Lytechinus pictus: one gene and its partner. The protein of the gene in region 1 purifies or fractionates together with the protein of each later gene. This does not show direct contact. Links are inferred from orthologs where the notes say so. Each region holds a gene or a part of one and is shown in the gene's direction. Other genes may lie near its edges.

Evidence for each region.
Region 2: the proteins of ubiquitin conjugation factor E4 B-like (region 1) and ubiquitin-like protein 7 purify together in Homo sapiens (affinity purification with mass spectrometry; 3 studies listed by BioGRID and IntAct, counting the BioPlex papers as one, with this or other methods). This does not show direct contact. The link is inferred for Lytechinus pictus from reciprocal best matches to the Homo sapiens genes UBE4B and UBL7.

What each region holds. Positions count from the first base shown.
Region 1 is NC_087258.1:2,507,293-2,515,702, forward strand, and holds the start of ubiquitin conjugation factor E4 B-like, read left to right. Parts: upstream 1-4,907; 5' UTR 4,908-5,102; coding exon 5,103-5,126; intron 5,127-7,687; coding exon 7,688-7,859; intron 7,860-8,410. UniProt on the Homo sapiens protein: Ubiquitin-protein ligase that probably functions as an E3 ligase in conjunction with specific E1 and E2 ligases. May also function as an E4 ligase mediating the assembly of polyubiquitin chains on substrates ubiquitinated by another E3 ubiquitin ligase.
Region 2 is NC_087249.1:17,028,190-17,036,062, forward strand, and holds the start of ubiquitin-like protein 7, read left to right. Parts: upstream 1-4,480; 5' UTR 4,481-4,519; coding exon 4,520-4,658; exon of another isoform or gene 4,659-5,228; intron 5,229-7,427; coding exon 7,428-7,547; intron 7,548-7,873.

The sequences.
Region 1 (8,410 bases):
TTGCAGTTAGCCATTAAGACGATACATATTTCAACTATTAAATATATTGAGAATTTTTTGACATTCCGACCTAAAAAGTTGACATTTTAAGCACTATTTGTAATCATAAACGGTAAAGGTATAAAACCAAACAATTAATGCGAGCCCGAAGCGCGAGTGAAAAAATTGAGATTTCAGACCTATATAATGGGACACTTTATTCATGTTTTGTAAATCATGAAAAAAGATGGGAAATTTGGTCTTTTCCTACATTAATAATGCGAGTGCAAAGCGCGAGTAGAAATTTTTTTTTATATTCTGATCTGAAACTGGATAATTTTAGCACGTTTTGAATAAAGATCAAGCTGCGTATCTTAATAAAAATGTGCGCGCGTGTTTTAGAGTTAGGCAGAATCTGGGCATTCTGAATACATTTCATTTTTTTATCATGAAAATCAATAATGCAAGCGCGAAGCGCGAGCGGAAAATGTTTGATATTCCGGTATGAAAAGGTGAATTTAAGCACTATCTAAAGCACTGTGTAGGGAAATTGTGAAGTGGATACGGATAGCACGTAATAAATGATGCGAGTGAGAAGCGCGAGCTGATATTATTATTACTATTTTGACCTGAGACCTGGACATTCTTGGCCTAAGGACATTTTGTCATCATATGAAAATGATGACTATCCTCCTATTCCTATTCTGAAAAAGCGACAATTTTGTTATTAGGAATTCATGAAAATTTTATCTATCGTATTTATTAATGTTATAAGCATAATGAGTGAGTGAAATTTGTTGACATTGAGTCCTGAAAACTGGATATTTTAATCATTTTGTAATCATGAATAGGATTTATGAGTTGATATATTTTCAACAATAATGCCAGCGCAATCGCGGACGAAATTTTTGATAAAAGGGGGATTTCAAGTAATTTGTTATAGAATTAATACCGGTATATAAAGAATCTGATGGACTAAACAGAGACAATATGTAGGCCTACTTGGCAAATCAAATAAAGCGAGCGCATAGCGCAAAAAGCTGCAAATAATATTCACACAATAAAACGGACATTTTACAGAGCAATTTGTAAATCAAACAAAATAATAAAAGCTCGATGTTCGAGCTGAAATATATGCATTGTATATTTCAAAACTTGATATTTTAAGCTACATATCAGCCTATTAAACACGATATGTATTTCGTCGAACAGGCTATGCGAGCGCGAAGCGTGGGCAAAAATTTAATATTGTGACATGACATTTATTTTCAAATCATTTTCCAAGTCTTCCATTGACCTTATTTTATTCACTTGTCTCCCTTCTCGTATTATTCATTTTCATTTTTCCTCCTTTTCCCCCTTCTTTTTTCTTTCTTTCCCCCTTTTTTCCCATTTTTTCTCCCCCAAAATACATGTATTATTTCGATTTTTATTGATGTATTTCTTTCCATCATAAAAGACCAAAAATAGTAAGGGGACAATTGATATTGTGTCCCCCCCTACTACTTTGGGTAGGGGGACGCGACCCCCCTGTCCCCCCAGGGATTTCCGCCCATGATTTATCGAGATGCACATAACTGGTGTCATCAATTTTATTTTCCTCCTAAAAATATCTTTTACTTCTTCATGGCCTATTAGGCCTAGATCTAGGAGATATATAGAATTAATAGCAGGAGAGCGGGGAGAAGTGGGACAAAAATAACACTCTGATCGTTTTCCATCTCTAGCTTTTTAATTATTCAGAATGACATTTACAGTTCATAATGGTAAATAGTGAAAATACTACATAGCCAGGTACTAGTATAACTTTAAGATATGATTAAAATACGATTTTGGAACACCTCTTGCGCGGGGTAAAGTGGACCACCCTTTGGGTAAAGTGAGACATAGGGTGGGGTAAAATAGGACAGTGGGAGGAACGTGGGACAGGCAAAAGTGATGTGTAAACAGAATGGTAATTAAAGAGAAATACTAATGTCATCAAGGGTTAAATTTGTAACACCACACAGATGATAATTTTAATCATAAACATCCAACAGTGCATGAAACAATAAACTCTAACTTATAAGCATAGGCCATTATAGTGAAAATACTGAGCTACATAGCCAGGTACTAGGTATCACTCCTAAACTTTAAGATTTTGGTTTAAAAAATGTGATTTTGGAACGCCTCTTGCGCGGGGTAACCCAGAAGGAAAAACCAGTTTAACTGGTAACTCTGGAAATTGGAACATCGGTTTACTGGTCTATAACTGGTCATACTGGTCCAGTTAAGATTTTACTGGTCCAGTTAAAAATTAAACTGGCCTAGAATTACCGGAATTTTATACTGGTGTAGTTTCTGGTGGTTGTTACTGGTCTCACTGGTATCCAATTTAAGCTGGTCTTTGCTGGTATTTTCTACTGGTCTGACTTGTCCTCGAACTGGTCCTCGTACTGGTCTTACTGGATCAATTTTATTATATGCATTTGGTTTGTTATATACCATGGTCAGTGAAATGTGATGGAAAAGATGCTAAGTAAATTAATCTTTCTGCTGTTATCTTAAATGTGATATATGAAATTAAACATTTTCATTGTGAATTAGTTCACAAACTTATTTAGAAAGTTTTTTTTTTAACTACAATGAGTGCCATTGCAAGGATATTCCATTCTAAATCCTGATTTTTCTTTTAAAAACAGGAAATATGCAAATGAGGTAAACCACGTGATCAGCATCATCAGAATTACTGGTATTACTGGTCTTGACCAGTTCAATTTCAAACAATGAATTACTTTAGACCAGTTGACTATATCAGAGGAATATATCTTGCTTTGATCTTAATCATCGTTAAAGGAAATAATTATTTTAATGATAATGTTAATACTTGATAATTATGATAATATTAATAATAATAATTACAATATCAATGACAATGATAACAGTAATAAGAATGATAACAACAATGATCATAATAATCATAATAATAATAATTATGATAATTATAAGAAGAATGATGATAACAATGATAAATGATAACGATAATAACTTTCTCTGAATTGCAAGATTCATTTTCCTTAATTCGTCAAATGATCTGACTTGAAATAAAGTAATTACTTATTGGACCAGTAACACCAGTTTGATGAAAAACAATTTAACTTGTATTACTACTTTGCTTCAACTGGAATGCAATTGTTTGAACTGGTCTCCAGTTGATTTTTACTGGTCCAGTTAAAAATCAACTGGCCCAGTAAAAATATACTGGAAACCAGTAAAAATCTACTGGAAACCAGTAAAAATTCCTACTGGTCTTACTGGTTTTTCCTTCTGGGAAAGTGGACCACCCTTGGGGTAAAGTGGTATGGGGTAAAATAGGACAGTGGGAGTAACGTGGGACAGGCAAAAGTGATGTGTAAACAGAAAGGTAATTAAAGAAAAATACACATAACATCAAGGTAAATGTGTAACACCGCAAATATTTTAATTTCAATCATATACATCCAACACTGCATGAAACAATAAACTCTAACTAGTAAGCATACCTGCAAATTCAATATATCTTGGAATGCTTGTATAGATAATAAATCATTTTGGCCTTACACAGGCAAATTGCTATTGGGATTCTGTGAAGCACTTTTCAATAAAATAATACCAAATAAAAAAAGCAGGTCAACCAGCATGACCAGGCTTTGATGATTAAGAGTTAAAAATGTCAAAGGGCAATTTTATCAAACCGAAGATGATTCGTTTCCTATCATTGAAGAAAAGGGACATTTTGCATCAAAATATCAAAATAAACAAAGATAAGTTAAGATATGGATTCAATTTCCTAATTTTGGACACAATGAACACACTGAGCATGTCATCACGAGATGTTATGCTCATACGAGTCTTCGCTTGTATTTTCGAGGCATGTCTATCTGCAAAAAACAAGCAAAAGTTGGGACGTTATTAAGGACTCGTGTTGTTCTTGAATTGAATCATTGGTCTATTGGCCTGAGCCTTGGATAAACTGAGAGTTTCATTGTATTATACTTTGATACCAATGAGAGATAAAGACATTGAGTAATCAGAACAAAAATACATACATGATTAGCTTTGAAGCAGAATGCAGGTAAGAATAAGATTTTTTTATTCTTTAATATTGGAGCTCCCTTTGTACTCAATCTGCCATTGGGGTGAAGTGGGACAGCGTGGGGGGGGGGGGGGGGCCCGGGGGGGGGGACAACGTGGTGGTGAAGTACGTGGGACAAGTCAAGGAACAGCTGAGATGTTTTGTCTCATTTCTCCCCACGAGCCCCCAAAATTAAAAATGGCGTCTGAAATTTTATAAACGCATCTTATCATTATTTATCATCACATTATTAAGACATGGTATGTCTGAATGAGTTATATTTAGGGTCTATAGGTCTTTGTTGTTAATCTGTAACTTTATTGGCAATAAATGTACAAAATAGGTAAAATTAAACTGGGGGAAAAAGGATAAATTCTAATTAAAATTTCCTGGTGTAGTTCTTAATTGACATGATGGTTGCTTGGTAAGACCTATCGCAGGATAGAAATTGATTGCTGATTAGTTCTCTACTCTTACAGATAGAGGAGGTGTCCCACTTCTCCCGCGCCCCACTTCTCCCCGCTCTCCCCTATAGATTAGATTAATTGGGTCTACCTTTATTTTTAGTTCATGATGTATATATTTGATTATTTCTGTACGTCTTCCCTATAGTTTGTCACCAAAAGTTCCACCAAGTATATTCCTTCCCAGTGGGAAGGAATAGTTCCCAGCCTACATTGTAATTCTTTTTAAGTCAGTAAGCCAAGTGTCTTGTTTCTCTCCCGGTTTCTCCCACCAATTTTTGTATACCCCCCCCCCCCCCCCCCCCCCCCCGACCACACACACTTCTTCCGATTTCCAGATCCGGTATTGTTAATCGGATATACGCCCAGCCATAATACACAGCATGCTGGCGATCGACCTGCGCTGTCTAGCTAACCTCGGCCGGATATTCGAATATACGTTGCAATATGGCGAATTGATCGAAATGAATGAACGAATTTATCATCTGTAATTTGACAAACACAATCCAGCCGCACCTTGTATTTTCATTTTTTGAGGAACAAATCTTCCGACAAACAACGTGGAAATGAGTGAACTTACACCAGATGAGGTAAGGCCTAATAATAATATGGATTGTTTGTTATTTCACGGCGAAAGCTTTGTTTACCTCAGTCTTTGTTCTGCTTTGCCATGTCGACAATTCCCTTGCATTATATGCAGCCCCACTCGTGTAATATTGTGTTATCTAACGTTAATTTTGTCGTGATCCAATTTTTTTGTGCGATGTCATCGCACAAAGAAAATGGGATCACGACAAAATAAACGTGTCCCCATGTCTGACCAGTCATGCCAGTGCAGTGGCCATAATCTTCTATATTGCCTTGGTTTGTATCCATTTGATTGGCTGTCTAGCCAGGATTAGGGAGACTGATAATTAATTGATTCAGTTCTTCGTCTTTGAGTTTGTGTATACTGCCCAACGCCCCAGTTATTTCCCACCCATGGGCTCAGTCATATCATCTCGCGTGCGAAGGAATATCATTCATAATAATGCGACACACACGACACATCCATATACTACTGGGCTTTCGCCCACATAAAACATCACACATAATTAGGGATTTCACATTCTGATATCATTTAGATCCTTCCGAGTTCCGTGACTTCTCCTTGAGGTTTCTTCTAAAAAATATGTATGGTTGGAACTACCCCTTATCGACCACCTAATCTTCTCAGCATCGTATCTGCGAAAATATTCATCAATTTTACCCAGTTTTAGTCCCATTTGTGCAGAAAATTGAGCAGATCAGATTCCCATGTTTCGCTCAGCGACTCCGATTCAATCCGCGTATATATCGACGAACAACGAATACGACGATTTTACATTTGCTCATTTGCACCCGTCTTTTGAAACCGACCACCCGCGATACACTAAGTTTACGGCCGATTCTTGTCGCGGTGGCGAAATATTTTTACTCTTCCAAATCAGTTCTATGATGTCAACATGCTAAATGATCGTCTCACTACTTCCACTGCGAGCTCCGGCACATGATTCGACGATTGACGACGGATATTTGTTCTAAAGCCGTTTCCTATCGGATTTCTTAGTTTTTCAGCGGGAATTGGGTCTGGTCAATACAATTTTGATTAATTCTACTAAATTTTTACTTTTTGTTGCTTCTTTTTTTCTCGTAAAATCGATTCTTACCGTTTCTATGGACACTGCGCCTACTCTCCCGCGCGTATCGTTTGTAATACGCAATAGTTTTAACGCGCGCAAGGTGGTCGGTTTCAAAAGAGGTGGTCGATATGTGGTAGTCTCACCATATATTTTCTTGATCTTTGGTGAAGATTTCACGGAGTTAAAATTTGGTCAGCGCCGATATCAATTTTCGTCTAAAGAGGGCGCGCGATTTATATTCATATCAAAGACACGACAAGGGAAAGACTAGGCACCTAGGCCTACACTATTTTACACGCAAATTGACACAGGTCATTACGCAAAGTCCGTGAAGTGTCCAATCTTTTCATTGTAAAGACTTTGGTATACCGTATTATTGATGTTCGTGTATTATTGATGTACTGCTGGTTTCGTTCCAGGCACGTATATTTTTTCCAATTTTTCTTTATTAGTCATCGTTTTAAATTAATTGCAGAAAAATGTTATCATCGCCAATAATAATCTTGAATTATGTTTTTGAAGGTATTTCATTTATTAGTGCCCATAATTAGTAAATCAATCATAAGAATTGCTTATTCAAAGAATGTAGACACAGTTATAAAATTACCGAGGAGCTGAATCAAGGTTGTGAAATTTATTAGCGCCACCAACCAAGCAACCTCCCATCATTTGTTGTTTTAGAGATAATCATACACACAATGAAAGGTGTGTAAAAATGAGCCGTGTAACGTCAGTTACCGTGAAAATGCCCATTTGCAAATTTGCATGTTAGAACCTAAATCAAAACATCAGGGATATTATCCAACTCATGGTCACACAAACTTCCTAATCAATGCTTAGCTTTAAATGGGAAAAATTTTGTTGTAAAATAGCAGAAGAAATATAAATATTGGTGAAGGTTTGAGGAAATTTAAAAAAGTTATTAGAATTTAATTTTTGACTTCGGACATTATATGCGAGCAGCTTTCCACGGATTGTGAATTAAAGATATCAGTGAAATGTCATTTTCTTGAAATATTGAAAATGGAGTTTATTGAACCTTCTGTATATTAACAGACAAATTATTTCAAACCCGCTCTTGAAAAAAAGAAAATTGGTAGTCATCACAAACTAATAAAAAATTGAAATTTTGGCATTTTATGTCACATCAAATTCCTAAAATTCATATTTTTACCGTAACTTAATCTTTTATGGATTTTCCTCAAACCTTTATACCAATAATTTTGCAGGTTTTTAGATGCTGATCAACATGAAATTGGTTAAACTTGTGTATTATGTTAGTGAAAAAAGCAACACCTTTTTGGGGTTTATGCTGCACATAATTTGTTCTTAGTGTCAGTTGCTATAACAGCCCGGGTAGTATTCTGGCCCCTAATCAATAGAAAATCATTGTAAAAAATATATCTAGTCATTGATTTTTGGCAATCTTAAGTAAGTTTTCCAGATGCATGAAATATCTTCTTTTTTTTTCTCTAAATGTTGATTATCAGATTCGTCGGAGGCGTCTAGCTCACCTAGATAGAAGTCCTGCTGGTCCGGGAGCTAGGGTGACACCAAGTCAGGAATCTAATGTGGACCAGCCAGCGACACCTACTTCTCCAACACAACTTGGAGCAAGCCCGATTAGAGCCCCAAGACCTCCACTGGTTGTCGATGTTCCTGGTGAGTTATCACAGACTGTAAAGCCCTATTCTTTTTCATGAAAGGTTGAATACAGTGAAAGATGGTGTAATGCCATCTTCACACAAATTTGAAACATTTACCAAAGTAACCTCATTTACTCACTGCATTTTTCATGTGATCTCGCTTATAGTTGTTCAGATTAGACCTTATACTTCTCTATTCCTTGAATTCATCGTTCAGTAATTTCTTTAATCAAATCTCACTCACGGACCTTGTTTATCTTGACCATCCTAGGAAAAATTGGGTCGACTTCTTATAATGATAAACGTTGGTAGCGCATGTATTATGAAATGCTCGAATTATCTCTTATGCTTGAATATAATTAACAGTGTTAAAATAATTTACACAGATACCTTTTCATTTCTCTTTCCTCACCATTTAGATCAGGGGGAAAAATCATGGGGGCTCGGGGCAATCGAAATGCTCAGAAGAGCACTGGAAAATCCCATTCACTGCCATGTTAAACTTACATGTAACCAATGTCACAGATTTAGGCAGTTGATTGTGAAAAGTAACCCCCAAAAATAAAA
Region 2 (7,873 bases), on another chromosome or scaffold:
TATATATATATATCCAATTCTTAAACACTTAATAAACTAGCTGCCATTAATGGCAAGACATGTGCTAGGGTAGGACTAGCTTAGGCTAGCGCATTAACTTTACCTCAAATCTGGACCTGTCTAATTAATGCCTAGTACTAATCAGTGTTATAATTTCTGAAGGTTTCCATGGCGAAGAAAAATAGTGTAGTAGGTTTCACGGTACACCATGTATCTTTCTTGGGCAGATGTTGGTCCTGAAAAGGACCACCCAATCTCGACGTTTCGACAAGTGTGTTCTTGTCGTCCTCAGGAGAAAACGACAAGAACACACTTGTCGAAACGTCGAGATTGGGTGGTCCTTTTCAGGACCAACATCTGCCCAAGAAAGATACATGGTGTACCGTGAAACCTACTACACTAATCAGTGTTGTAGTGCCTTGATGCTCGGCCTTGGCCTTAAGGCGCCTTAATGCCTAGCTACTTTTTCAAAGCCTTGGCCTCGAGAGGGCCTTGGCCTTGAGGATTTTGAGCCTTGAATTTTTTTTTTAAAGGCATTTTCAAGGCATTTTGAATTTTGTACTTTCATTTGTTTTAAATAAGTAATTATAAATGTTTCAATTGTTTTTTTTAATATATATTTAATAACACTAATGGTCAATACTACCAATCACCAGTAACAGTAGCAGCAGCAGTAGTAAGTGTACTAGCAGTGTCATCAATTGTAATTGTCACCATTATCAAGAAATTCAAACAAAGAATACATCAGTTATGAAAAATAGCATTATGTATTGGTAATGTGGTGTAATCATATGATGATAATGACAGTAAATAATAATGGTCATGATCAAGATAATAGTGCTTTGATGACAAGAATAATTTTTACATCTGACTGCAATTTTGACAACAATTTTCATACTTTAAACATAGCTAACTCTAAAGAACGATAACAAGGTTGATTTCTATTCCATTAGGGTTTTCCTTGTATTATTTTCTTTGGCCAACAAGAATGTTTTAAGTCTTAATGATATTCTGAAAAGATTTGGTAAACTTGAACACAGTCTCCAATTGTGTCATATCCAAATGGGTTATGTCAATGGCATGGTGAGCCAGAAACTTTGAGGGGCCAAGCATGGCATATATAGAGCAAAATTTCTGTCAAAAAAAAAGAAGAAAGCGATTGAAGCGAGCGAGTGAACAAAATTTGTCCCCCTCTTTCTATAAGAAAAGCTAATTTTGCAATAGATTGTTTAAAAAATAATATCATATTTACTCCATCTTTTCCTTTCCCTTCCCCCCTTGTCTAAGTTTATTCTTGGTGGTGGGACTTCTTCTTCTCTCTATCTCTCTTCTAAATTTTATATTTGTTTTTGGGTCAGATTGACAAAACAAAGGGGAAAAAATGTTTACTTCTTTTTAATCATATATCGTTCAACATTGAATCTCATTTCTCTACAGTTTCAAGGAAATAAACAACGTATTTGTTTTTGTGTCAATATGGTTTCAAGAAATAATAATTAACAAAAAATAATTTAATAAGTAATAATTATTGATATTATCAATAAGTATTAATAATCAATGATTAATTAACTGTTTAATAAAAGTGGTTGAAAGCAGAAAAAAATATGAAAACTGACAAGAGTCCTAAAAATGACTCATTTTCAGTTTAAGCATTTGAAAATTTTAGCTTGCGCTTTGTGCTCTCTTGCCCCCCCCCCCCAAAAAAAAAAAAAAAAAAATCCCAAATGAAATATGCCCTTTTTAAAAAAGAAATACCTTCTTTAATAATAAAACATAATACATTTTAGGTTTGAAAATCACAGATTTTGAATCGTGCTTGCATCAATTATTGTTTAGTATACAGTACTGCTAATGGTTACAAAAATGTATAGAATGTTGCTTTATGGTTGAAATATCACAAATATTTGGCTCGCTTCCTGCACTCGCATCAATTATTGTACTCGTTCTCTTCCCGTTCACAAAAAAATGCTTAGAATGTCCAGTTTTCAGGTTGGAATATCACAAATTTCTGAGCTCGCGCTTTGCGCTCGCATTATTTTTTATTGGTAAATTATGTATCTTATTTAAAATGCAGTAATTAACTGCTTCCTTTACTGGTCAGTATATAAAAAGAATTAGCGAGCGCAAAGTTATTTTTTAGTTATATAGATACACATCTTTTTCATGATTACAAAACCAGCTCAGAATAAAATAATTTCCATGTCTTATTACACGACATGTCAAGAAGTTTGAGCTCGTGATTCGCGCTGGCAACATCGCGCAAGGAAATTTCAACAATGATTAGCCCCATAATTGACCATAAATCAAGTTTTACAACTTCAGAATTATTTTTTTTTTCAAAACCGCTTGCTCGCTATGCTTTCTCGCTGAGAAGTAAAACCTAAAGCAAAATATCTATCTTATAATTAAAAATCACTTTAGAAAGCCTTTGCTCAACTTAATTTCTATAAAACACACAATTACTTCACGCAGTTCATAATCTCATTTTTCAAATACATGTATCTGTTTGCACAAAAAAACTCATTTTGAAAAATGGGTGCCTTTTTGGCGTTGACCCCCCCCCCCCATAATAATTTTCTGCTGCCCCTGTCCCAGGGAGTGGAGAAAACATACGTTGAGAATGCCAGGATCAGATGACCGTGGTAATAATAATTATTGCAATGTAAATCGCCTATAGAAAAATTATGGATTATGTGTACACAGGTAACTATATCATTATTTTAATATGTCTCTATCATGAAATTATTTTTGTTTTAAATGTACAAAGGTTTTTTTTTCTCGCTCAATCCCCTCGCTCACATACATTTTACCATGTGTGATGTCTGCCGCCTAAGTATTGTTAGTTCATTGTTCTGTATATCGTAAGTTTGAAATGCCTTGGCCTTTAGGTTTTCAGGCCTTGGCCTTGGGTTTCCATGCCTTGGCCTTGGTCTTTGGTATTGAAGCCTTGGCCTTGGGTATTAAAGCCTTGGCCTTGGCCTTGGATGTTTGAGCCTTGACATACAACACTGAATAGCCGACTAATGCCATGGTTAACTTCGAACTGGTTAATTCCGAACTTCACGTTTAATTAGGTTTAGACAAATATTAGCTTATTTGCCATGGTTTAATATGTCTAGTCCGTATACAAAACCAGTCCTAGATCTAAAAAAAAAATTATCTTAGTTCTAGTCTAGTCTCTATATCTAGACTCTGATCTACGCTGTATCAGCATGGAACCACTAGTGTACCAAGGGGGGGGGGGAGAGACTGTCCCTCTGACGAGTCACTGAACTGATTCAGGGGACGTGCCCCCTTTGAGAAGCCAAATTAATAATTTGTAATGTAAAAATGCAATGAAAAAGACGTATGTCCCCTTTTTTGAACGTGAAGATCTTTTTTTTTTTTTGCTTGTCAATTTTTTTTCAGCTAAGAAATCCATAATTTGGGGTGAAGACCCTTTTTTTTGGGGGGGGGGGCTTGTCACATTTTTTCGCGGACGAAATATCCTCTAAAAAATTTGCCCCCCTTTTGGAAAATCCTAGGTACACCAGTGCGTGCATGGAACGTATTCTAACGTCAGGCACAAATTAACGTCAGTGATCTTGATCCCCGTCTTCACCCAAAATTATGGATTTTGTAGCTGAAAAAATTTGACAAGAAAAAAAAAAGATCTTCACGTTCAAAAGAGGGGAAAAACGTATTTTTTCGTTGCATTTTGACATTACAAATTATTAATTTGGCTTTTCAAGGGGGGGCACGTCCCCTGAATCAGTTGTGACTCGTCAGGGGGGCAGTCTGCCCCCCCCCCCTTTGGTACACTAGTGGTTCCATGCTGATAGCGCGTAGATCAGAGTCTAGATCTAGAGACTAGACTAGAACTAAGATATTTTTTTTTAGATCTAGGACTGGTTCTGTATACGGACTAGACAGGAATAACCGTCGTTTCTGGGGATTTATTCAACAATTTCTGACATTTTACTGTAATCCCCATATTAAACCATGGTAAATAAGCTAATATTGGTCCAAACCTAATCAAACGTAAAGTTCGGAATTAACAAGTTCGAAGTTAACCATGTCATTAGTCGGCTATTCCTATCCGGGATTCCTATTAGTATTAGGCATTAGACAGGTCCAGATTTGAGGTAAAGTTAATGCGCTAGCCTAAGCTAGCCCCACCCTAGCACATGTCTTGCCATTAATGGCAGCTAGTTTGATAAGTGTTTAAGAATTGGATGTATATATAGATCTAAGCCTATAAGGCCTATGTAACTATGTAAGGGTACCGGTAATTTGACGATGCTAATTCATTCTGAGCAACGTGAATGCTTACGATCGGCACTGGTCGAGGCTAAGTCCACGCGCATGCGTACTCTCAATCCGAAGACGCAAGTCATGAATATTCATATGTCGGTCCAGAACTCGGTGGGAAAAATAATTTCGCGGGCGGGGCGGGGGACTCGCTTTATCAATCCTGATTATGCTGACGTCATCATTACAAGCCACGCCCTATTTCTTTTGTTGATGTCTGACAAAAAAAATGGCGAGCTGTATTGTCTGTGTCAAATTTTCCGAAAAACCTGGCCGCCCTCGTTTAGATGGAGTGGACCTCGGTTCACCTGTAGCAGAATTTAGAGAAAGAGTTTCGAATGTCTTCGATATTCCGTCAACAGATATAAGTAAGTAAAGTTGTGTAGAGTAGAACAGACGGTTAGACAAGTCGAAGACCAAGCCAAGGCAGCGAAGCATTTACCAGCAGCATCTAGCGGATGACCGCGCTGCACCACGCCAGCGCAGCAGGCGCTGTGTAATTTGCATTTCGGATGTGCACACTGCACTACGACCAGGCCAAGTTGACTTCTACTAGTACTAGCTTCTTGACCTTGTTAATGCTAGTAAAACTAAAGGACCTGCCATTGCTCCTACCTCACTACCTGCCACTAATTTATTAACCATCAGCATGATAAGGAAAGCTGGAAAAGCATGTTACTTTCAGTTTGAGCAAATGATTTTTACTCTTGAGTCTTGATTATAATATATAACAAGTAGAAGAAGTACCTCGACCTCGTTCGTAGGATGAGTGGATTTTTCCAAGTTTACTTCAACAAGTGCAAAGTAACGTGGTCGACGTTGGTCACTGCACTCAGTCACGTCTGTTGTGAAATTATCCGAGTGGTACTAATTGATACTTACGAGATAAGACTTGCTGTAAATCCAGCTGAGAACTGGGAACCAGAGCCAGAGGATTGGTAAGTCGCTAGGTCCTTTCCGCTTCAATCCAAATCCAGTTCTCCTTGTGTGAACTCGCCCGCGCCAGGGCAATGGTCGTACGCGGTCGTACGGCACGGGCGTACGTACGTGTGCCCTAAGACTATGGCAAGCCATGTGGTCCAAATATAATGTATTAGACAGCTGGCAGCCGTCTGTTTCGAGGAGTTTTTAAACATTTTTTTATTTTTTAAATTTCTCCTCGTACACAGATGGCTCGCTATCGTGCAGCCACCATTAGGGGACTTACAATGCAAAATCCCCCCGTCAGGGCTCTTCAATTTTTGTCTTTAATGAATCAAACTTTTGAAAATTAACGCGACCAAAATGCAAATTAATATTCCCTCTTGGCATTAATTGCCAAAAAACGGGGAAAATCAAGTTAAATGGAACAAAAACAGTGACTTACCTCGGCTGTTGCGCAACTTCACTGCCCTGTTTTATCCAAACTTAATACACATAAACATATGGCCATTGAGTCCCCTGTACAGATCGCGCTAGAACTTCGGTCTCTGTATTTGATGAGTGAAGCCAACGGAGTTCAGCTGAACAACCAACATAACAGAGACCGAAGCTTTTGGTCTAATAATGTATTACCATAGTATATTTCACAACACACCTCCCGGCCAACAAGATTTATCCCCATAAATCTCCTTTCATTATCCTAACTTATAACGTGAAATATATATGGGATACGGCCGGAGAAGTATATAAATTCAGAGTATAATTATGTATTCATAATATGTTTTGTAATTTAGGAAATAAACAGGCTACTTGCCGGAAAATGTACTTTGAAAAAAGAAATTGAAAGATTTGCCAAACCCTATCAGGTGGCCAAATCAGTAAATTCAAGCAAAAAATAAGCAACAAAGAAACAATAATTTGATATGTAGAGCCTAAAATATATATAAGTGGAAACACTATTCCTAAATTATAAATCACTCACCGAACTCCGGCTCAAAATCCAGTGAACCCCTCGTCGGCAAACAAAAAATACGAATAGGTCTACTGAGTAGCAGAAATACTATCCAAAATCTTGACTAAATATCCTATGTAAACTCGGTAAAGAAAAAGAAAATTCCAACACGTTAAGTATAGAAAATCAAGAAGTATAACATATAACCAGGGCGATGGTCGTACGCGGTCGTACGGCACGGGCATACGTACATGTGCCCTAAGACTATGGCAAGCCATGTGGTCCAAATACATGGATATAATGTATTACCATATAGTATATTTCACAACACGTCACAGCACTTTATTTATTTCACTGTCGACTGTCTGCATGTGCGAAGAAGGGCTAAGGGTGTGATCTGAAGCTGAGTGATATTGTAAAAAAGACATTTGATCTTGGCAAAAATATTATTTTGTTGGCCATTTAAATTTTGTTTTTAGGTATTTGTGAATAATGAATCTAAAGAAACTATTGTGTTTGATATGATTGTAATTTGGTTATACATGTTATATGACCCACTGCAATACTACTGCAATTGTGATGAGATTGAGCGTAACAGTCTGGTATGAGATTATTTTTTTCATGATATTTTATTTCTTCCTCATCAGACATGATCAATAGAAAATATATGAACATCAAAATTAGAAGTTTATAACACATTCAGTAGAGGTACAGAGCTGCCAGTCCGAAATTGAGGATTGTCTCAGAAAACAAGGATATCTTCATAAACCAATACAAATCAAATCTTGATAAATTTAGATTGTCCTTGTTTATGAGAACAATTTTTTCCCCCAATCCCTCCTGTGGGAAATAGATGGCAGTTTCTAGAATTGAGAGTGCGAATAATAGATTCCGTTACTTCCATTCCCCCCAGTTCACTTTCTATTTTATGACTTCCCAACTTCGTATAATCTTGATGAAACCCTAATATTTTGTATTGACTAGCGTACTCGATTGGTGTCGGCACTTGACAGGTGAATGAACTTTCCTAGATTTCTTGTGCGGAGAAATGGGGACGATCCTCATTCCCAGACTGATGTAGATGACTTTTCCATTAAATTTGGCCGGACTTAAATGCATTCCTTCTGTGAGTTCATCCCACTTCTGCAAATGCACATTTAACACTCCCCTCTTCATCGCTTATTTCCTTTTGTTTTCCCTATTGACCATTGAATGCCCCATATATCTTGTACAAAACACTGTCACTTTCCATGTGCTCTTGCAGATCTAGTTTACTGTGGAAAGTTGATGAAAGATGCAGAAACCTTATCAGGATGTGGGGTGAAGGCAGGATGTACCGTGCACATTCTGAGGAAGAAACTTCCCGAGCCAGAAGTCAAACCAGGTATGTGAACATTTATATGGAGCCTTTCCACCCTCCCCCCCAAAAACTATCGCGCATTGCAAAAAACTTGCAATCAACTGCAAATTTATCTGGGGTGCCCATTATAATACCAATTATATGTCTTGCCATTAGTTGCAAATTTGTAATTGCTTGCTGACATCATGTTTGATGTCACAAGCAGTGTAAACTGATAGTGACAGCTTCAAAATTGTCAATTGTAAAAGTGCAACAAAAAATTTGCAGTTGATTGCAGATGTTTTCTTTCAACACATCCCCCCATAAAAAAGGCATGTCAGTTCAATCTACCAGTTATCCACAAAGTTTCA